Anolis sagrei: one gene and its partners. The protein of the gene in region 2 interacts with the protein of the main gene of each other region in a biochemical or structural test. Links are inferred from orthologs where the notes say so. Each region holds a gene or a part of one and is shown on either strand. Other genes may lie near its edges.

Evidence for each region.
Region 1: of the proteins of TRIM25 (region 2) and RIGI, one has a biochemical effect on the other in vitro, tested with the Homo sapiens proteins (5 studies listed by BioGRID, with this or other methods). The link is inferred for Anolis sagrei from reciprocal best matches to the Homo sapiens genes TRIM25 and RIGI.
Region 3: of the proteins of TRIM25 (region 2) and protein mono-ADP-ribosyltransferase PARP12-like, one has a biochemical effect on the other in vitro, tested with the Homo sapiens proteins (2 studies listed by BioGRID). The link is inferred for Anolis sagrei from reciprocal best matches to the Homo sapiens genes TRIM25 and ZC3HAV1.

Annotation. Positions count from the first base shown.
Region 1 is NC_090022.1:205,270,192-205,278,196, forward strand, and holds the start of RIGI (antiviral innate immune response receptor RIG-I), read right to left. Parts: upstream 3,035-8,005; 5' UTR 2,885-3,034; coding exon 2,779-2,884; exon of another isoform or gene 2,738-2,778; intron 1-2,737.
Region 2 is NC_090022.1:144,128,815-144,136,360, forward strand, and holds the start of TRIM25 (E3 ubiquitin/ISG15 ligase TRIM25), read right to left. Parts: upstream 3,032-7,546; 5' UTR 2,928-3,031; coding exon 2,310-2,927; intron 1-2,309.
Region 3 is NC_090025.1:101,486,856-101,494,343, reverse strand, and holds the start of protein mono-ADP-ribosyltransferase PARP12-like, read left to right. Parts: upstream 1-4,412; 5' UTR 4,413-4,478; coding exon 4,479-4,774; intron 4,775-7,488.

The DNA of each region.
Region 1 (8,005 bases), about 61 Mb from region 2:
CCTCGGTCCCATCTTCAGGTCACTTCTGATGAGGTGAAAATATCTCCTGACATGAAACAATCAGGGCCAACTAACACCTTCCAACAAAGGATTTTCCCAGGCAAGAAGCAGCCATTCAACACTAATCAAGGTGGCCCATTGCAACATTCACACTTGCCTCAAGCAGACAAGAGTTCTTTCTCCCACCCTGGACATGCCACAGATATATAAACCTTAGTTGCCTGGTTTCCAACAGACCTCCCAACCTCTGAGAATGCCTGCCATAGATGTGGGCAAAATGTCAGGAGAGATTTCTTCTGAAACAAGGCCATGCAGCCTGGAAAACTCACAGAAACCCATTTCTATTCCCAGTTTTTGACAAATGGTGTTAGCATTTTGCAGAAGTTACAATCTGCTGGCTGCATGTGGGGTGGAGAAGGGATGGTAATTCAGTCACAGCATATTCAATGGCACTTACATCCAAGTAAGTATCACACTTGCTCCCCCTAAATATACACAAATTGATTTACTTTTTGAACCTAGAGATTCCTAGAGAGAACAATTTCAATGAAATCTGTGAATAATCATCAAATTCACAGATATGAAACCCACAAATGTGAAGAGACAACTATAACACTATGTAACAAAATTTAGAAAAACATCTGTTCCTGGTTTGAAAGTGCCACACATGTATGCACATACATCCACATATATACACATACATAAACATATACATACATATGTACCCAGGCATGTAGCCGGGGGGGGGGGCTTGAGGGGCTTCAGCTCCTCCCCCCCCCCCCCCAATTCTCATGGTGGTTCGCGAAAAGGCCTTACTGGTGCATTATTTAAACTGTTATGTTTATTCATATCATGATCTGATCACCATGCTCAATATATCCCATATGCATGGGGGTATTGGGGTAATAATACAAAAGGTTTGCTAGGCTAGACCCTCTTTCACTCAGACTCAGCCCCCCCCCCGAAACTCAGCCCCCCCCGAACCCCCCCCTGAAAAAAATTCAGCCCCCCCCCCCCTGAAACGAAATCCTGGCTATGGGCCTGTATGTACCCATACATATATATACACATATATGCAAAAATGTATACACAACATGATCACATGGTCTTCAGTTCCTCCCACAACCACAATCAACATAGTTAAACAGCACACATATACAGATGGACACATGCACACACACATGTACATACATATAGGGCACACATATACACAAAAACATGCACATACATACATAAATATACATACATATATGCCCATACATATATACACATATATGAAAAACGTATACACAGCATGATCACATGGTCTTCAATCCCTACCACAACTTCAATCAACATACACGTATACAGATGAACACATGGACACACACATGTACATACATAGAGGGCGCATGTAGGTACAAACATATACACATACATTCACACATATACATACATATATACCCATACATAGGTAAAAGGTAAAGGCTGTCTCCTGACATTAAGTCCAGTCGTGTCCAACTCTGGGGGTTGGTGCTCATCTCCAGGCCTGTAGCGAGGGGGGGGGTTAGGGGTTCAACCCCCCCCCCCCCCAAATGTTTCAGATTTTTTAAAAAACCTGGTTTACTCATGAATTTTAACTGGTTAACCAAATCCCCATGCTAAGTCTATGAGATGCAAAAAATTAAGAGTCCTTCCAGAACTGCAAGCACTATCTCTTACTTACTTACTTAGGCGATCCCTCGTTGGACGAGTAAGATGGTCTTCCATTATGGATTTCCTTGTGGGTCCGTATGTGGCTGTGGAGCCCTATTCTTGCTCTGCATCTTCTTCCGCAGTGAGGGCATTGGTTTCCAGGTGGAAGGCGTTCCCGGTCGGGGTTGGCTTGACGCGCCTTCCTCCTGGCACGTTTCTCTCTTTCACCCTCCACTCGTGCCTCCTCGAATTCTGCAGCACTGCTGGTCACAGCTGTCCTCCAGCTGGAGCGCTCAAGGGCCAGGGCTTCCCAGTTCTCAGTGTCTATGCCAGAGTTTTTAAGGTTGGCTTTCAGCCCATCTTTAAATCTCTTTTCCTGTCCACCAACGTTCCGTTTTCCGTTCTTAAAGCACTATCTCAGGCAAATATTGACAATTTATTCACACTGTCATTACTTGCAGCAATAGCCGATGTAGCGAAGCAACCAAGTTGGGTGTGTGTGTGTTGAATGCTCTCATTAAGGAGGCCAGACTTGGTGGAGGTGGTTGACAGGGGCGGAGGGGCAGGCTATTGAAGGCTGCTCTGCCCCCTGCTGTGCTCTTTGCTTCAGCGTGAGCTAGGAGGCAGGTTTCACCCCCCCCCCCCGAAAATTTCAACCCCTCCCGAAAAAATTTTCTGGCTACGGCCCTGCTCATCTCCATTTCTAAGCCAAAGAGCCAGTGTTGTCCATAGACACCTCCAAGGTCATGTGGCCAGCATGACTGCATGGAGCACCATTACCTACCCATACATATATACACATAATGCAAAAATGTATACACAACATGATGACATGGTCTTCAGTCCCTGGGCAGAGTTGCATACTTACACACATCTGTGGACACTTATGTGCACATATATTGATACACATATACATGCATATACATATACATGCAAACATACTCACAAATACATACACACATCCTTCTATATCGATATACCCAGCGATGTGTGTGTGGGGGGGGCGCGCCTATATACACTCCCTTGTGCACACCCATAATAATAAGTAAGTGCAGGCACACACTGGGAGCAGAAGGGAGAGAGGAGGGAGAGGGAGATGCTGACCATCGGAGAGCCAGTCCTTCATGTAGCAGAGGATGTAGACGGGGTTGAGGGTCTTCTGGATGTAATGCCCGAAGCGGAGCAAGTTCTCCTTCTCCTCGGCACTCATGGCGAAGGCGAGGCTCTCTTCCCTGCCTCCCAAGCACTCTTATAGAGGAAGCAAGGCAGGGGGCCCCCAGGCTGGGGGCAAGGGTCCCGGGGCGCAGCCTCCTCCTCCTCCTCCTCCTCCTCCGCCGGCTTCCCTTTCCCTCTCCAGAAGCCGACCGGCTGGGAAGAGAGGCGGAGCCCGGGCTGGAAACGAAACCCAAGGCAGAGAAACCGAAAGCAGGCGGAGAGTCGAGGAGGAAAAGGTTTGGCAGCACTTCAACTGCTAGATCTATCTCCAGGCCGGGGAATCCCGGGAGTTGCACTTTGGGGAGCCCTCTGGACCAAGCGAAAGCCTGTGCAAAACTTGGGTGCCCACGGACTCAGAGTAGCCAGCTATGCAATTCAAGCAGAATCAAGTTGCATTCATTCTACAGCAGCGTTTCTCAACCGAGGGGTCGCAAGGAGAGTGTCAGGGGGATCGCCAAAGACCATCAGAAAAAAACGTTTTTTTCTGTTGGTCATAGGGATTCGGTGTGGGAAGTTTGGCCCAATTCGATCGTAGGTGGAGTTCAGAATACTCTTTGTCGGTAGGTGAACCAGACAAACTACAACTCCCAAATGTCAAGGTCTATTTTCCCCAAACTCCACCAGTGTTGGCTTTTCGGCATATTGAGTATTTCTGCCAAGTTTGGTCCAGATCCAGGCATGTAGCGGGGGGGAGGGGGGGGAGCTTGAGGGGCTTAAACCCCCCCCCCCCGAAATTCTCATGGCGGTTCGCGAAAAGGCCTTACTGGTGCATTATTTAAACTGTTACGTTATTCATATCATGATCTGATCACCATACTCAATATATCCCATATGCATGGGGGTACTGGGGCAATGATACAAAAGGTTTGCTAGGGTAGACCCACTTTCACTCAGACTCAGCCCCCCCCCCCGAAACTCAGCCCCCCCGAACCCCCCCTGAAAAAAACTCAGCCCCCCCCCCCCCCCCCCCCCCGAATCGAAATCCTGGCTACGGGCCTGTCCAGATCCATCATTGTTTCATTCCACAGTGCTCTCTGGATGTAGGTGAACTACAACTCCAAAAGCTCAAGGTCAATGCCCACCAAAACCCTTCCAGTATTTTCTGTTGGCCATGACAGTTCTGTGTCCCAAGTTTGTTTCAACTCCATCGTTGGCGGACTTCAGAATGCTCTTTGATTGTAGGTGAACTATCAATCCCAGCAACTACAACTCCCAAATGTCAAGGTCTGTTTTCCCCAAACTCCACTTGTGTTTACATTTGGGCATATTGCGTATCCGTGTGTGTGTGTGTGTGTGTGTGTGTATGTATGTGCGTGTATATATATATATATATATATATATGGCATGGGCCAACTTCGGCCCTCCATGTGTTTTGGACAAAATTTGTCCATGCCCATATCCATTTATATATATATATAATCAGTGTTTGGTTTGGGGAGGGGGCACCAAAATACTGTTTGCTTACCATTGAAAATTACCTACGGCCACCTCTGTATCCCTGCCAAGTTTGGTCCAGATCCATCATTGTTTGTGTCTACAGTGCTCTCTGGATGTAGCTGAACTACAACTCCCAAACTCAAGGTCAATACCCACTAGGCCCTTCCAGTATTTTCTGTTGGTCATGGGAGTTCTCTGTGGGAAGTTTGGCCCAATTCTATCATTGGTAGGGTTCAGAATGCTCTTGGACGGTAGGTGAACCATAAATCCCAGCAACTACAACTCCCAAATGTCAGGGGGCCTCATCACACTACAGTATAAATCCACCTTAAATCTGGTTGTTGCTTTCTGCAGAATTCTGGGGTTTGTAGTTTAGGGAGGAGCCTTTGACAGCCTCACTAAACTACAAACCCCAGAATTCTGCAGGAGGCAGAAGCCGGATTTAATGTGGATTCATTCTCTAGTGTGATGAATTGGTAGGTCTGTTTTTCCCCAAACCTCCACCAGTGTTCACTTTTTGGCATATTAAGTATTCGTGCCAAGTTGGTCCAGATCCATCATTGTTTGAGTCCACAGTGCTCTCTGGATGTAGGTGAACTACAACTCCAAAACTCAAGGTCAATGCCCACCAAACCCTTCCAGTATTTTCTCTTAGTCATGGGAGTTCTGTGTGCCAAGTTTGGTTCAATTCCATTGTTGGTGGAATTCAGAATGCTCTTTGATTGTAGGTGAACTCTAAATCCCAGTAACTACAACTCCCAAATGACAAATCAGTTCCTCCCCCCAACTCCACCAGTATTCAAATTTGGACATATTGGGTATTTGGACCAAATTTGGTCCAGTGAATGAAAATGCATCCGGCATATCAGTTCCTGGGATATAGGGCCTGTTTGGAAGGGCTCTCAGGCACCTTCCACACAGCTGTATAAAATCCACATTGAACTGAATTATATGGCAATGAGGACACCTTCTACATTGCCTCTGGCCCCTTCTACCCTGCCATATAATCCAGATCATCAAAGCATATAATCCACATTATCTGCTTTAAACTGGATTATATGGGGCCTCTTCTACACTACCAGATAAAATCCGGATTATCTGCTATGAACTGGATTATATGGCAGTATTCCAACAATGGTTAAAAACCATAAAAACATATTTAGAACTAAAAACCACAGCGTCCCCTGTGAATAGGACACAGCGTACTCACTCCCAAGGATATGTGTCCAATGTTACAGCCATGTTAAAGTTAATGACTGAGTTGTGTTTGCACACATAGTGCAGAAGGGTGTTTTCTTTCCTTCTGGATTATTGACTGGAGATGCAAGGAGTTTCCTTCTCCTTTTACTGTGCTTGGGCTTGAAGAAATAGAAACTAAGGACACTTTCATTTATCCAAGAGGAAAGTAATTACATAACATTCTCTGGATGCTTGCCACACATATAAATAGATCAGGATTGTAATTCAAACCAGAACTAAGGGGGGGGGAATCATTTTTAGGAGGATTGGGTACACTAAGCAGGAATTTTAAACGGAGGGCCCTTCCACACAGCCATATAACCCAGAATATCAAGGCTGAAAATCCCAACATATCTGCTTTGAACTGGGTTATCTGAGTCACCACTGCCATATATCCCAGTTCAAAGCAGATAATGTAGGATCTTATAGAGTGGATTGGAAAGGACCTCAAACTGGATTAAATTAGGGCACGCCTTCCATACTCTCCCTTTCTAAACTGGGAGGGGTGCATGTAGTAGTTTATTTCCCCACTATTGAGTCGTTACCTTGTTTTTTCCTTCAGTTTATGGCAGCACTATGACTATGAGTGTGTCTACACTGTAGAATGAACACCACTTTATCTGCCATGGCTCAATGCTATGGAATCCTAGGAGTTGTAATTTGGTCAAGCACCAACACTCTTTGACAGAAGAGGCTGAAGACCTTATAAAATGATAACTTCTCTTATTCCACAGCATTGAGACATGGCTGTTAAAATGGTGTTGATGTGCATTCGTTCTACAGTGTAGACATAGGGCCACCATAAGCAGACTTCATTCACCATCTTTTGTAATGGTGTAATGGCCATGAGACACTCGCAGAAGTCACATGGAATCATGTTGGGAAAGTAGGGACTCAGACGAAGCACAGGTGTGCTGTGTTTGCCCAGGAAACTCTATATCAAATTTGAAGAATGGGAAGGTGCATTTTTATGATGGAGCTGCCAATTGCCCGCTGCCTACAGGTCCTGTCATTTGCGTCTCACAGGTTTACAAAGCCAACATAGAACCACTTGGTAGTACTCCTTGTTGATGGTAGTACCATGTGTTACATACTTGTGATGAACCACAACACTGGAGTCAAAGTAGACCGTCAGCATGACTTTTTTTTGGACTTGCCTTTTTCTTTTTGGCTTTGAGGATGTTGGATGCATCCATTGTGATGACTGCAATTTGGTTTCTGGCTCATACCCCTAAACCCAGGACTCATCGCCAGTGATCAGTGTTTATTTCTATTTTATTTTAATTTATGGTTTTTATATTCCGCCCTTCTCACCCCAAAGGGGACTCAGAGTGGTTCACAGAACACATATACAGCAAATATTCAGTGCCGATTATACAATGACAAAACGGACAATAGATAGAGGAGTGTGTGTATGTATATACGCACATGCTTTCCCATCTTTTGGCATCTTTGGAGGCTGTGCTCATTTCCGGCCACAAGGGAGTGCTGTCACTCCATCTCCTTGTTGAAGAGCGTTTCTTTGTTTATAAACTTCCTCTTTTTTCTGATCGAAACACCATGCCTATTGTGACTGAGCTGGAACCACAGAGTGCCTCTGATGGTCAGCTGGAATCACAGAGTATCTCTGATGAGGATGATGGGATTCAAGTTCACAATCTGGTCCAAAATGCCCCTGTTATAGACAATGAGGAACAGGGGATGCAAGTTCAGTTTCCCACAGCAAGAAATGAGATTGTTGATACCGAAACTAGCCAGGTGCAGGTGCAAATTGATTCAGAAAAGGAGGACATTTCTCAGCCTGATAATAAGCAGGAAGGCAAACAGGATAACACTAACGAACAGACTGACCTTGACGAAATGGGAACCTTAGATCATGCTGACCGTTTGGAATTCAGAGTTCGAAGGAGTGTGAGAATAGCTAACAAGAAGGAGGTCAGAGGCCAAAGAAACACCTTTATGTTTTGCAAAGGGTGTTAAGCAGTGTGTTTGGGACCAAACCTTTGTCAGGGCAACTTTTCATTTAACCAAGGAGCTTGTATTTGCTTGTCTAGATTATCTTGCAGTTCTTGTGTTCATGGTCTCAGGATTTAGTCATGTTCTCATGGGATTTTGCTTTGCTGGTGCCTTTTTAAATCATGCTTCAAAGTGCTTTTTGTATTGATCTTTTGGAACATTACTTTTGTTTTTAAGAGCTTTTTATCTTTTACTTTTTAATAAACTATAAAGACTTCTGGCTGTGTGCAGTTTGGTGTTTTCAGCAAGGTGAACCTACTCCGAGGTACAACAGTGTCTAAAATACCTCCCTACTTTAATGCAGTCCCTATTTATCTACTCACATTTGTTTTCTAATTGCTAGATGGCAAAAGCTGGGTAGAAGGTCAGATGGTCACCTTGACCCGGGCTTCAAACTATCAGCCTTCCGGTTGGCAAGATGTAT
Region 2 (7,546 bases):
CCTGTCCATACTCCAGGAAATAATGCCCAGCTGGGAAGGATATTAGAGGCCAAGATGAAGTACTTTGGCCACATCAAGAGAAGACAGGAAAGCTTAGAGAAGACAATGATGCTGGGGAAAATGGAAGGAAAAAGGAAAAGGGGCCGACCAAGGGCAAGATGGATGGATGGTATCTTTGAAAGGACTGGCTTGACCTTGAAGGAGCTGGGGGTGGTGACAGCAGACAGAAAGAGTTGGAAGCAACTGAAAAAATAAACAACAAAATGTGCTTTCAAGTTGATTGGCAATTCTAAGACAATCACAACATGGGGTGTTCTTGGCAATATTTCTTCAGAAAACGCTTGCCACTGTTTTTCTCCAAGTCTGTGTGGCCTGCCCAAGGTCACCAACTGGGCTTACATGGCCAAACAAGGATTCGAACTCTGGTCTTCCAGAATCCTAGTCCAACACCCAAACCAAAACACTGTGCTGGCTCTTTTCATGGACGTAATTTGTCACCAATAGCTAACAATGATCTGAATGGGTTGCTGTAAGTTTTCTGGGCTGTATGGCCATGTTCCAGAAGCATTTTCTCCTGATGTTTCACCCACATCTATGGCAGGCATCCTCAGAACAAAACATTACAACCTCAAAGGATGCCTGCCATAGGTGTGGGCAAAACATCAGGAGAGAATGCTTCCGGAACATGGCCATACAGCCTGGGAAATTGACAGCAACGCCGTGAATTCAGCTATGAAAACCTTCGACAGCACAATGATTTGATTGCTAGGCTGTAGGATACTAAGGAATGAAAGCCAATGTAGTAGAATGTTGTTTTGCAAGATCTTTAGCTTTCTCTGCCACAGGATGGCTCACCAAACTACAAATCCAAAGATTCAACAGCACTGAGCCCTGGAAGTGGTGTCAAACTGCAATAATTCCACAGTGAAGATGCGCCCTAGGCCTCTGGAAACTACTTAACCATATTGCAAACCATGGGAGAACTTGGATCAATCATATTCTCTCAATCTCTGAGAAAGCCAATGGCAAAGCTTTTCTGAACAAATCCTGCCAACAAAAATCTGCAATAGGGTGGTTATATGCTGCAAATGATATAAAGGCACACAACAACTACACACAAGGATACCAAGGACCAGTCCCAAGACATACTGCTCTGTGGGGCAAAAGACAAGATAAGCAACCCTAGCCACCTTGAGTGGCTGTATCAGGAGAAAGACAAGATAACAATACAGCAAATGAAAATTGAAGAAAAAAATACTTGTTCACCCCATAAAAATCTAATACAATTGTGCAATCTGGGCCTGCAGTTCTTGCAACATGTCTAAGTGGGGCCTTTCACAAAATCTGGGGTGCATCGCTGATTCCCAAACTCTAGTCCTCCAGGTGTTTTGGACTCCCAGAAGCCTCAACAGCTCTGACCAATGATCAGGGAATCCAGGAACTGATGTTCAAAAGACCTGAAGAACGAGTTTAGGAAAGACCGAATTAACACACATTGACACCCCTTGAACTGCCCTGGCTCGAGGCTATGGAAACCTGGGAATTGCAGCTTCCCAAGGCCTTTAGCCCTCTCTGTCAAGAGTGCTGGGGCCTCAACAATCTAGGATTCGACAGCATTGAGCCATCAAAGTTCAAGTAGAGTTACACTACATTCGTTCTACAGTGTAGGCCAAACTTTGCCCCTCCAAAATCAGGCATGGGCAAATTTCAGCCTTTTGGACTTCAGAACACACTACATTCATTCTACAGTGTAGGCCAAACTTTGCTCCTCCAAAATCAGGCATGGGCAAATTTCAGCCCACGGGTGTTTTGGACTTCAGAAATTCCACCCAGTTTATCAGTTGTTAGGAATTATAAGAGTTGGAAGTCCAAAACACCTGGAGGGTTGAAGTTCACCCATGCCTGCTCCAGGTGTTTGTGACTTCAACTCCCAGCATTTAAACTAGAATAAAATTTCAGAATGCAGTTTAACTGCATTGAACTGGATTATTTTATTCTACACTACCATAGAACCCAGTTCAATGCAGTCAATGTGCATTCTGAAACTGGATTTGATGACAGTGTAGACCAGGCACGGGCACACTTGGGCCGTCCAGGTGTTTTGGACTTCAACTCCCACAATTCCTAGCAGCCTCAGGCCCTTTCCTTTTACCCCTCAGCCACTTACGGCTGAGGGGGAAAAGGAAAGGGCCTTAGGCTGCTAGGAATTGTGGGAGTTGAAGTCCAAAACACCTGGACGGCCCAAGTGTGCCCATACCTGTGATAGCTTCTTCATCTCCAAGCTTTGCTGCATGAGGCCACCGCCTCACCTCCTTCTCCTCCTTGGCCTGGGCCAAGGGGACGGTGTCGCAGGCCTTGTGGGTGACCAAGCAGAAGCAGCAGATGCACCTGCCGTGGTCCTGGCAGTGGAACTCGAGGAGCTTGCCGTGGTCGGGGCACTTCCTGCTGTGGAGGTCCCTCACGGGGGGCACCAGGTGGTGGCCCTTGAAGGCCGGGCTCTCCAGGTGAGGCCGGAGGTGCTCCTGGCAGAAGGAGGCCATACAGCTGAGGCAGGTCTGGGCCGCTTGGGCCCCAAAGCAGCTGTCGCAAGGCACAGGACTCTCCTGGGGGAGCTTCTTCTCCGCCGCTTTGGGGCCCGGGTCTTCCTTGAGGGGCTCCTTCCCAAACTGCTCCACCACTCGGCACAGCACTGTGTTCTTCCTCAACTCAGGGCGGCTGTGGAAGTGGGTCCTGCATTGGGGGCAGCTGAAGCCCTCGCCTGAGGCCTTCCCGGGGCCCCAGGTCATTTCCAAGCAGGGCAGGCAGAAGTTGTGCCCGCAGGGGGTGGTCACTGGGCTCTCGAAGAGGCAGAGGCAGATGGAGCAGGTCAGCTCCTCTTCCAGGCCGAAGAGGACCGGCAGAGAGGGCGCCCTGGCCACCTCAGCCATGGCTGGAAGCAGAGTGAAGCGAAAGCAAGCCGAGGAGGCTCTTAAGCACTGCCAGCGGAGAAGCGAAACTCAGGAGGAACCACTTATTGGAAGTCACGTGACGCAGAGAAGCCCAGCCAGAATACACACACACAGCATGAGCAACACCCTCCCCTCTCTCTCCGTTTAGTGACCCACGGAAAGAGAAACGCCCGCTCTTTCTCTTTCTCTTTCCCCCGCTCTCCTTTCCATTCAGGGCTGGGGAGTTAACGCACTTCGACACCACTTTAATAGCTCAAGGCTATGGCGGGCTAGCCTGTGTGTGTGTATATATATATCACATCGCTGTATATCTATATAATACTAGCTTTACCCACCACGCGTTGCTGTGGCCAACCTTCTCTCCCTCTTTCTCTCCTTCTTTCACTCCTTCCTTCATTTCCTTTTCTTCTTTCCTTTCTTCCTTCTCTACCTGTTTACTTCCTTCCTTAGCTTTTTGCTCCCATCCTTCCTTCTCTTTATTTCTTTCCTTCCCTCCCTCTTTCTCTCCTTCTTTCTCTTCTTCCTTTGCTCCGTCTTTCCTCCCTTTCCTTTTTCTTTCCTTCTCTCCTCCTTCTTTCTCTTCCTCTTTCCTTCCTCCTCCCTTTTTATTTTCCTTCCTCTTCCTCTTTCTTCCCTCTCTATCTCTTTCCTTCCTTCCTTCGCTCTTGACTTCCAGACTTCCTTTTCTTTCTTTCTTTTCTTCCCTCCCTTTCTCTTCTTCCTTTGCTTTTTTCCCTCTTCCCCTTCCCAAATTCCCCTTCCTTCCTTCCTTCCTTCCTTTTGACACCTTCCCTTCCCCTTCCCTTTCTTCTTTTTTTCTATCTTTCTTTCATTTCCTCCTTCCTTCCTTTCTCCCTTCTTTCCCATCCTCCTTCTCTCTCTGTATTCTTTCTTTCCTACCTTTCTTCTTTCATATACCTTCTCAACTTCCCTCCCTCCCTCCCTCCCTCCCTCCCTTCCTTCCTTCCTTCCTTTTGACACCTTCCCTTCCCCTTCCCTTTCTTCTTTTTTTCTATCTTTCTTTCATTTCCTCCTTCCTTCCTTTCTCCCTTCTTTCCCATCCTCCTTCTCTCTCTGTATTCTTTCTTTCCTACCTTTCTTCTTTCATATACCTTCTCAACTTCCCTCCCTCCCTCCCTCCCTCCCTCCCTTCCTTCCTTCCTTCCTTCCTTTTGACACCTTCCCTTCCCCTTCCCTTTCTTCTTTTTTTCTATCTTTCTTTCATTTCCTCCTTCCTTCCTTTCTCCCTTCTTTCCCATCCTCCTTCTCTCTCTGTATTCTTTCTTTCCTACCTTTCTTCTTTCATATACCTTCTCAACTTCCCTCCCTCCCTCCCTCCCTCCCTTCCTTCCTTCCTTCCTTTTGACACCTTCCCTTCCCCTTCCCTTTCTTCTTTTTTTCTATCTTTCTTTCATTTCCTCCTTCCTTCCTTTCTCCCTTCTTTCCCATCCTCCTTCTCTCTCTGTATTCTTTCTTTCCTACCTTTCTTCTTTCATATACCTTCTCAACTTCCCTCCCTCCCTCCCTCCCTTCCTTCCTTCCTTCCTTTTGACACCTTCCCTTCCCCTTCCCTTTCTTCTTTTTTTCTATCTTTCTTTCATTTCCTCCTTCCTTCCTTTCTCCCTTCTTTCCCATCCTCCTTCTCTCTCTGTATTCTTTCTTTCCTACCTTTCTTCTTTCATATACCTTCTCAACTTCCCTCCCTCCCTCCCTCCCTCCCTCCCTTCCTTCCTTCCTTCCTTTTGACACCTTCCCTTCCCCTTCCCTTTCTTCTTTTTTTCTATCTTTCTTTCATTTCCTCCTTCCTTCCTTTCTCCCTTCTTTCCCATCCTCCTTCTCTCTCTGTATTCTTTCTTTCCTACCTTTCTTCTTTCATATACCTTCTCAACTTCCCTCCCTCCCTCCCTCCCTCCCTTCCTTCCTTCCTTCCTTCCTTTTGACACCTTCCCTTCCCCTTCCCTTTCTTCTTTTTTTCTATCTTTCTTTCATTTCCTCCTTCCTTCCTTTCTCCCTTCTTTCCCATCCTCCTTCTCTCTCTGTATTCTTTCTTTCCTACCTTTCTTCTTTCATATACCTTCTCAACTTCCCTCCCTCCCTCCCTCCCTCCCTTCCTTCCTTCCTTCCTTTTGACACCTTCCCTTCCCCTTCCCTTTCTTCTTTTTTTCTATCTTTCTTTCATTTCCTCCTTCCTTCCTTTCTCCCTTCTTTCCCATCCTCCTTCTCTCTCTGTATTCTTTCTTTCCTACCTTTCTTCTTTCATATACCTTCTCAACTTCCCTCCCTCCCTCCCTCCCTCCCTCCCTCCCTTCCTTCCTTCCTTCCTTTTGACACCTTCCCTTCCCCTTCCCTTTCTTCTTTTTTTCTATCTTTCTTTCATTTCCTCCTTCCTTCCTTTCTCCCTTCTTTCCCATCCTCCTTCTCTCTCTGTATTCTTTCTTTCCTACCTTTCTTCTTTCATATACCTTCTCAACTTCCCTCCCTCCCTCCCTCCCTCCCTCCCTCCCTTCCTTCCTTCCTTCCTTCCTTTTGACACCTTCCCTTCCCCTTCCCTTTCTTCTTTTTTTCTATCTTTCTTTCATTTCCTCCTTCCTTCCTTTCTCCCTTCTTTCCCATCCTCCTTCTCTCTCTGTATTCTTTCTTTCCTACCTTTCTTCTTTCATATACCTTCTCAACTTCCCTCCCTCCCTCCCTCCCTCCCTCCCTTCCTTCCTTCCTTCCTTCCTTTTGACACCTTCCCTTCCCCTTCCCTTTCTTCTTTTTTCTATCTTTCTTTCATTTCCTCCTTCCTTCCTTTCTCCCTTCTTTCCCATCCTCCTTCTCTCTCTGTATTCTTTCTTTCCTACCTTTCTTCTTTCATATACCTTCTCAACTTCCCTCCCTCCCTCCCTCCCTCCCTCCCTCCCTCCCTTCCTTCCTTCCTTCCTTTTGACACCTTCCCTTCCCCTTCCCTTTCTTCTTTTTTTCTATCTTTCTTTCATTTCCTCCTTCCTTCCTTTCTCCCTTCTTTCCCATCCTCCTTCTCTCTCTGTATTCTTTCTTTCCTACCTTTCTTCTTTCATATACCTTCTCAACTTCCCTCCCTCCCTCCCTCCCTCCCTCCCTCCCTTCCTTCCTTCCTTCCTTCCTTTTGACACCTTCCCTTCCCCTTCCCTTTCTTCTTTTTTTCTATCTTTCTTTCATTTCCTCCTTCCTTCCTTTCTCCCTTCTTTCCCATCCTCCTTCTCTCTCTGTATTCTTTCTTTCCTACCTTTCTTCTTTCATATACCTTCTCAACTTCCCTCCCTCCCTCCCTCCCTCCCTTCCTTCCTTCCTTCCTTTTGACACCTTCCCTTCCCCTTCCCTTTCTTCTTTTTTTCTATCTTTCTTTCATTTCCTCCTTCCTTCCTTTCTCCCTTCTTTCCCATCCTCCTTCTCTCTCTGTATTCTTTCTTTCCTACCTTTCTTCTTTCATATACCTTCTCAACTTCCCTCCCTCCCTCCCTCCCTCCCTTCCTTCCTTCCTTCCTTTTGACACCTTCCCTTCCCCTTCCCTTTCTTCTTTTTTTCTATCTTTCTTTCATTTCCTCCTTCCTTCCTTTCTCCCTTCTTTCCCATCCTCCTTCTCTCTCTGTATTCTTTCTTTCCTACCTTTCTTCTTTCATATACCTTCTCAACTTCCCTCCCTCCCTCCCTCCCTCCCTCCCTCCCTCCCTTCCTTCCTTCCTTCCTTTTGACACCTTCCCTTCCCCTTCCCTTTCTTCTTTTTTTCTATCTTTCTTTCATTTCCTCCTTCCTTCCTTTCTCCCTTCTTTCCCATCCTCCTTCTCTCTCTGTATTCTTTCTTTCCTACCTTTCTTCTTTCATATACCTTCTCAACTTCCCTCCCTCCCTCCCTCCCTCCCTCCCTTCCTTCCTTCCTTCCTTTTGACACCTTCCCTTCCCCTTCCCTTTCTTCTTTTTTTCTATCTTTCTTTCATTTCCTCCTTCCTTCCTTTCTCCCTTCTTTCCCATCCTCCTTCTCTCTCTGTATTCTTTCTTTCCTACCTTTCTTCTTTCATATACCTTCTCAACCTCCCTCCCTCCCTTCCTTCCTTCCTTCCTTCCTTTCTCTGTTCGCGCAGCATCCTGGTCCCCAGCGATGCGTTCTAGAACTACAGTTCCCAGAGTGCATTGCGTGTGTACTTCCTCCCCTGGGCACTGAGCATGCTCAGTTGGTTTTTGTAATTGTGAGTTTGTTGAAATGTTGTTTGGAATTTTGATTCACGTTGTGCATACCTTGTGGGTTGAGGTATGTGCACGGCAAATTTGGTGAGTTTTCGTCGGGGGGTTTCCGCGTTTTGCTGTCCCGTTGAACACCCTTTCCATTTTTATATATATAGATATATAAATGCTCTGTGCATAATGAGTACCTTAAAAACAAAAGAACCAATGAACGAAATCACACCAAATTTGGCAACGAAACATCTCACTACACAAAGAGTGACCATCACTCAAAAAATTATGATTTTGTCATTTGGGAGTTGTAGTTGCTGGGATTTATAGTTCACCTATAATCAAAGAGCGTTCTGAACTCCACCAAATGATGGAACTGAACCAAACTTAGCACACAGAACTCCCCC
Region 3 (7,488 bases), on a different chromosome or scaffold from region 2:
ATACTCATGGTTGGACTGACTGTGCTGGTTCAAGATTCCTTGGATCCCAGAATTTCAAGTACAAACTAAAGCATGTCCTAAATCTGCCTACTGAAAAATAATGGAACTTGCTGTGAGCCTAAAAGTCAGGCTTAGAGTGTTCTTGGGAAGATTTCTACTGTGTGTGTGTGTGTGTTACTATTGCCTTTATCTTGTGTATGAGTCTTCTTTAAAGTTACAGAAAGGGCTTTTTCCATTAGAGCTGCCGCAAACTAGCCTCCTGCGGGAGCAAACTGTGCCAGCACGTCCCTGACGTCATGAGACTGCGCCTCTCTCTCCGCCCCTTTCTCTGTGCCAGAGTGGTTTTTCCTTTGCTAGGGCAGCATTGCCAGCGTACTCTTGTTGTTGACATAAGGCCCGTCGCAAACTCTTTTCCTGCGAGAGAAACCTTGCTAGCAAGTCCCTGACGTCACGAGCCTGCGCCTCTCTCCCCGCCCCTTTCTCCGCCCCTTTCTCTTTGCGAGCGTGGTTTTTCCTTTGCTAGGGCAGCATTGCCAGCGTACTCTTGTTGTTGACATAAGGCCCGTCGCAAACTCTGTTCCTGCGAGAGAAACCTTGCTAGCAAGTCCCTGACGTCACGAGCCTGCGCCTCTCTCCCCGCCCCTTTCTCCGCCCCTTTCTCTTTGCGAGCGTGGTTTTTCCTTTGCTAGGGCAGCATTGCCCGCATTTTCTCTCAGTTGAATTCTGCCAACTGAGAGAAAATGCGGGCAATGCTGCCCTAGCAGAGGAAAAACCACGCTCGCATGGAGAAAGGGGCAGAGAAAGGGGCGGGGAGAGAGGCGGAGTCTCGTGACGTCAGGGACTTGCTAGCAAGGTTTCTCTCGCAGGAACAGAGTTTGCGACGGGCCTAATTCAACAACGAGAGTACGCTGGCAATGCTGCCCTAGCGAAGGAAAAACCACTCTGGCATGGAGAAAGAGGCGGAGAAAGGGGCGGAGAGAGAGGCGCAGTCTCACGACGTCAGGGACGTGCTGGCACAGTTTGCTCCCGCAGGAGGCTAGTTTGCGACGGGTCTAACAGTCCATTAAAATAGAACTGATACCGATACAAAGGTCTGATGTAAGCAAGGTAGATGTAACTTCAAAGGATGTTTTGATTTTTGACAGTTGAAGGAAATGAACAACAACAAAATTTAACAATAAATATTTAACAGTGTGATAGCGCTGAGTGTGGCTAGGGTGTATCAGTGAATTTGTGTGTACATTGTCAACAACCTTTCAGTGCTTCTGCTGATGACTCGTCTCTTTGGCTTTAATATCACATGAGTTTTTGAATAAACAGAAGTTGTGGTTTCAGTTCTGCCTTATGCTTGTTATTTGAGCAACATAAGGAAGAATTTCTGTTTATATATTGTTAATTTCTGTTGTTGTTGCTGTGTTCTTTCAATTGTTCCCAACATATGAACATCCTATGATGACCCTATCACAGGGATTTCTGAGGCTGAGAGTGTGTAACTCCCCTAAGGTCTCCCAATGGGTTTCTATGGCTGAATGTGGAGTCAAATGTGCAAATCACACTGGTTCCTTAATTTTTGGAAGGTACTGTCTTTTTTAGATCCATGATTACATTTGTTCGGAAACAAGAGGGAGTTTCTGATTTCCTATTTTCCCCGTGAGATTCCCTAGGGTACACCTACACTTTAGCATTAATGTATTTGACACCACTTTAACCATCATGGCTCAGTGCTATAAAACCCTGGGATTTGTTTTTTAGTGAGGCACCAGCACTCTTTGGCAGAGAAGACTAAAGATCATGATAAAAGTACAACTCCCAGAATCCCATGGCATTGAGCCATGGCAGGTACACTTTGGAAGTATCTATTTGAAGGCTTTCTGTTGTGTTCTTCACCCAAAAGTATCTGCAAAGAGTGGATGTACAGTCTGGATGGGGGCGAACAAATTGAAATTGAATCCAGACAAGACAGAGGTACTCCTGGTCAGTCGTAAGGCCGAACAGGGTATAGGGTTACAGCCTGTGTTGGATGGGGTCGCACTCCCCCTGAAGACACAGGTTCGCAGTTTGGGTGTGATCCTGGACTCATCGTTGAGCCTGGAACCCCAGGTTTCAGCGGTGACCAGGGGAGCATTCGCACAGTTAAAACTCGTGCGCCAACTGCGCCCGTACCTTGGGAAGTCTGACTTGGCCACGGTAGTCCACGCTCTGGTTACATCCCGTTTAGACTACTGCAATGCTCTCTACGTGGGGTTGCCTTTGAAGACGGCCCGGAAGCTCCAATTAGTCCAACGCTCGGCAGCCATGATACTAACTGGAGCGGAGCACAGGGAGCATACAACTCCTCTGCTGCACCAGCTCCACTGGCTGCCGATCTGCTACCGGGCTCAATTCAAAGTGCTGGCGCTGGCCTTTAAAGCCCTAAACGGTTCTGGCCCAACTTACCTATCCGAACGTATCTCAACCTATCAGCCCACCAGAACCCTAAGATCTTCTGGGGGGGCCCTGCTCTCTATCCCGCCTGCTTCACAGGTGCGGCTGGCAGGGACGAGAGACAGGGCCTTTTCTGTGATGGCCCCGCGGCTATGGAACGCCCTCCCCATGGAGGTAAGATCAGCCCCCTCATTGATGGTTTTCCGGAAAAGACTAAAAACCTGGATGTTCGAGCAGGCGTTCGGTTAACTCAGTGCAATAAGTGTAATGATTGAAGGACTGGCAATTTGGACGACGAAACTGGATCGCGATTTTAGTCAAGAGATGAATTGGATGGTTTATTGATATATGTATTGTGGATCGTGTTTTTATGCTTTTAAACTGTATACTGTTGTTTGTTATAAGTTGTGTAAACCGCGTTGAGTCGCCGGCTAGGCTGAGAAACGGCGGTATACAAGTATAGCAAATAAATAAAATAATAATAAATTTATTGGTATCTGCCTGCTGTTAATAAATAGGCAAAACCAAAATGGTTCCCCACAGTTCCTCCCCTTGTAGTGCCACAAAAAGGAATGTTTGAAAAGGAAAATTCAATTCCATTTGTAATTACTGTCTGATAATAATAATAAAATTGTTATTATAATATACCAAAAATGATAATTTTATGACAGCTAAAATTATACTTACCATTTTTTTCTGTTCTTAAAGTAAGAACAGAACAGTCTGGTTGTTATTATGTGTCTTCCAAATGTTATTTTCAGTGTATAGAGATTAAATCATAGGGTTTTCATGGTAATTTTTTTCAAAGGAGGTTTGCCTTTGCCTTCCTTTGAGGCTGAGAGAGTGAGGCTTCCTGAAGATTCCATGGTTGAGAAGTAACTCTTTCAAGCTTGGATATGAGGACTAGGTAGCCTCCATGGCATGGTGATGCCTGGAATATCCTTTGAGCATCAGTGGGGCCCCTCTCCATAGTTGTAGAGTGAAAATGGTCAACTAGGCCATTAGTTCTGAGAGTGCCTTGGACTGCGAGAAGATCCAACCAGTCCATCCTCCAGGAAATAAAGCCCGACTGCTCATTGGAGGGAAGGATACTAGAGACAAAGCTGAAGTACTTTGGCCACATCATGAGGAGACAGCAAAGCCTAGAGAAGACAATTATGCTGGGGAAAGTGGAAGGTAAAAGGAAGAGGGGCCGACCAAAGGCAAGATGGATGGATGGCATCCTTGAAGTGACTGGACTGACCTTGAAGGAGCTGGAGGTGGTGACGGCTGACAGGGAGCTCTGGCGTGGGCTGGTCCATGAGGTCACGAAGAGTCGGAGATGACTGAACGAATGAACAACAAAGGCCATTATTTATTTGCAGATTTTAATCCTGCTGATTGGCCTAGGGCAAACTAATCCAATTTATTTATTTTTTATTTGTCGTATCAGAAGTGAACTGAGGGTACAGTTGTAATATATTTTAAAAAACACAAAGTTTTAAAAACTTGGCCTTGTACTAAATGTCCTTCGACTAATAGCTGGCCACTTGGAGTGCCTCTGGTGTTGCTATAAGAAGGTCCTCCATTATGCACGTGGCAGGGCTCAGACTGCATTGCGATAGGTGGTCTGTGGTTTGCTCTTCTCCACACCCGCATGTTGTGGACTCCACTTTGTGGCCAGAAACTAATACAATGTACATTTTTTAAAAGCCAAGCCAAAACATGACAGTTAAAATCAGTACTGCCCCACCACCCTGTAATCCTAAATAAAACAGTCCTAAATCCTAAATAAAACAAGAATGATGACATTCGCTCAAAATGCAATTCAGTCGCCAAGAATTTTTGATAAATCACCCTTTGCCTCCCTTTAGGTCAGGTGGTGCTATCAATGATCTACCTTTGTTGACTTTCTGTTTCCAGCATTCATATGACAGAGTTAAGTTGCCAGGGAGTTACTTGTCTTCAGTTTCGATTCTCTTCGGAGTTGCAGGGAAAATAGGTGGAGCCTAGGTTGGTCTGACTTGAAACCAAACAACTCTTTAACAGACAGGTGGACAGACCAGAGATTGATCATGACTGATCCGGTTGTGTGTAGTTTTATCACCAAGATCCTTTGCTCCATGGGGGGCAGCTCAAGTTATCAGGAGATTCTTCCTGTTTTGGGGCTTCCCGACCACCAGTTAAGGCAGATCTTGGAGCAATCTGGGGAGGAAAGATTTCTGGTCAATGAGCAAGGCACCTCGTCTCAGGTGCTGGCAATCTCTCCGGTGCGTCTGTGTCTGAGGAATGAGTGTGATGGGTGCGAACGTCTTCATATTTGCAAGAACTACATCAAGAAGAAATGTTTCAGGCCTGCTCGTGGCAGATGGTGAGTTGCGGGGTGAGGTTAGAAAGAAAGAGAGAAGAAAAAGAAAAGATGGAAATGAGGAAGGCAGCTTTTGATAGCATTGAAAGAGATAAAAATGGATGTGAGTGGACTGGTACATTGTGACATGGTAGCCAACTCTCAAGAGAGAAAAGAGACAAAAGTCAAAGCAAATGTAGTTTCTGTCTGTTTTCTTCATTAGCCTCAAGTTCAACTGGCACTGCTTAGTTCAGTGGTTTCCAACCAGCGAACTGTGTACCACCGGTGTTCTGCAAGAACTAAAATATGGTCTGTGGCCTCACCATTACTACACTATTGCAACAAGAGCGACTGGTCTCGCAAAACCCTGTCATAGTACCGAGGCTTATTAAATATTGTTTTCTGTGGGTGAACAGATGGTAACTACTCGATGGCATATGTTCTGTATCAGAACTAGAGCTGATGTGGTCTATCTAATGCAATTTTCTGAATCAGCACCCCAAATAACCAAACCAAATTTAAAATTGACCAAAAACTGATTTGTAACCCTTTTGATACTAATGTTGGAGAGTGGTCCCTGGTCAGAGAGATCCCTAGTCAAAAAGGTTTGGGAATCACTGGTTTAGTTAGAAGGCATGAAAGACAAACGTCACCCAGCAACTATAGTGAGATAGCTCACTTTACACCTAAATAATGTTGTTGTTGTTGTGGACCAATAGGATAAACCAGAAGAATAAAGACTAATGTAATTTTGGAAATTTGACCCCATTTACTCTCAAATGAATGTGTGTTAGGTAATGGATTTGAATTTTCAGCTGTGCTCAAATTATAGGTTTTGTGAATGTATTTCAAAAGAAAAGCCATGTTTCAGAATGAACAAATCCATTGTATTATTACTAATAGTTGTTGTATAATACTAATAGTTGTTGTATCTCGGTGGTGGCCCCTCGGCTGTGGAACGCCCTTCCCATGGACATTAGATCAGCTCCCTCATTGATGGTATTTCGGAGAAAAGTGAAAACCTGGTTATTTGAACAGGCGTTTGAATAGGCAGTGCAATGAATTTTAGGAAATGGAACTATGGACGACGAGTTTGGATCATGATTCTAGTTATGAGATGCCAATGAATGAATGTTTATTGTTGTTTAATTGCTTAGTCTGCTATTGTGTTAATTGTTAATTGTTTTTAAATACCTTGTTATGCTGCATTGAATTTTTGCTATTTTGTTGTTAACTGCTATGAGTCGCCTAAGGGCTGAGAATAGCGGTATACAAGTGAAGTAAATAAAATAAAGAAATAAGGAAATAATTTGTACACTTACTGATACTTGTGCCTTTGTTGGGAATGAATGTGTAAATAGACCTCTGGTTTTAAGATGAGCAAGGGCTTAGAGCAGGGGTCCTCAAACTAAGGCCTGGGGGCCGGATACAGCCTTCCAAGATCATTTACCCGGCCCTCGCTCAGGATCAACCTAAGTCTGAAATGACTTGAAAGCACACAACAACAACAATCCTATCTCATCAGCCAAAAGCAGCCCCACACTTCTCATTGATATTTGAGTTTATATTTGTTAAAATTGTTCTTCATTTTAATTATAACATTGTTTTAAAGTGTTTTTTGCACTACAAATAAAACATGTGCAGTGTGCATAGGAATTCATTCATGCTTTTTTCAAATTATAATCCGGCCCTCCAACAGTTCGAGGCACTGTGACCTGGCCCCCTGTTTAAAATGTTTGAGGACCCCTGGCTTAGAGGCTTGCAATAGGTCTCGTTTCTGGTTTTGGTGTAATCTGAGAACCTCTCTTGCTGTGGACTCCAAATGGGAAATCCCAGGATTCCATAGGAAGTTGACATGATAATATGTAACAAAATTTGGAGAGAAAAAAATCTGTTCCCGGTCTGCAAGTGTTATTTCCTGTTTAATTGTACGGTACTCACTTTGAAAGTAGTTGTTATACCCTAGAAACTTTGTTTTTGTGGCTGCCACAAACTATGTTGAATTGATTGAGACCTTATGAGATACTGAAAAACTATAGTAAATTTTCCCACTTCTTATCCTATGTGATTTGGTTCATACATGAAAGTTAACAACTGAGGTGTAGAAGGGGAGACCTTTGAAAAACTAGACCTGTTTTGGCATTCATATTGTGTGCTGCATTAACGTGCTCAGGGAGAGTGACATGGTTCCTGATAATATGGACATTCATTAATGGGTGATGGCAGTGGTGGCTAATAGTCATAATAATGGTTTTCCTTGAGGTTGTGAGTGCGGAAGGAGGGCTCAAAGTTCATCCCTTTCCATGTTTTTATCCCATGGCAAATGTCTTTCTTCGTACCTATAAAACTACTGTGAAACAACTTTGAGATTTTCAGGAAGCTTGTCCCTGTGTCTACAACTACATTTGGCACAGAGTCACAATAAACAGAAGCCTTGTCTTTGAGACAATATGGGGACGCTTTATATATCTTTGTTATTCTTCATAAATTCTATGCAAATTGGAAGTAAATTAGTTTGCCATGCTCAGAAATCACCATTGTGATTGTTTGAAAACAATTTAAAAGGAGAGCTGGAAATACGTTGAAAACAATTTAAAAGGAGAGCTGGAAACACCAGGGCACCAACTTCTGACTTCCTGGTATAAAAAAAGAAAAACATGAACTGGAAAATTGAGTGGAGGGAGGATCCCTCTCCCTCCCTTTGTGTATAAGAGAGTTGAAGGTTTTATTCTTACTTG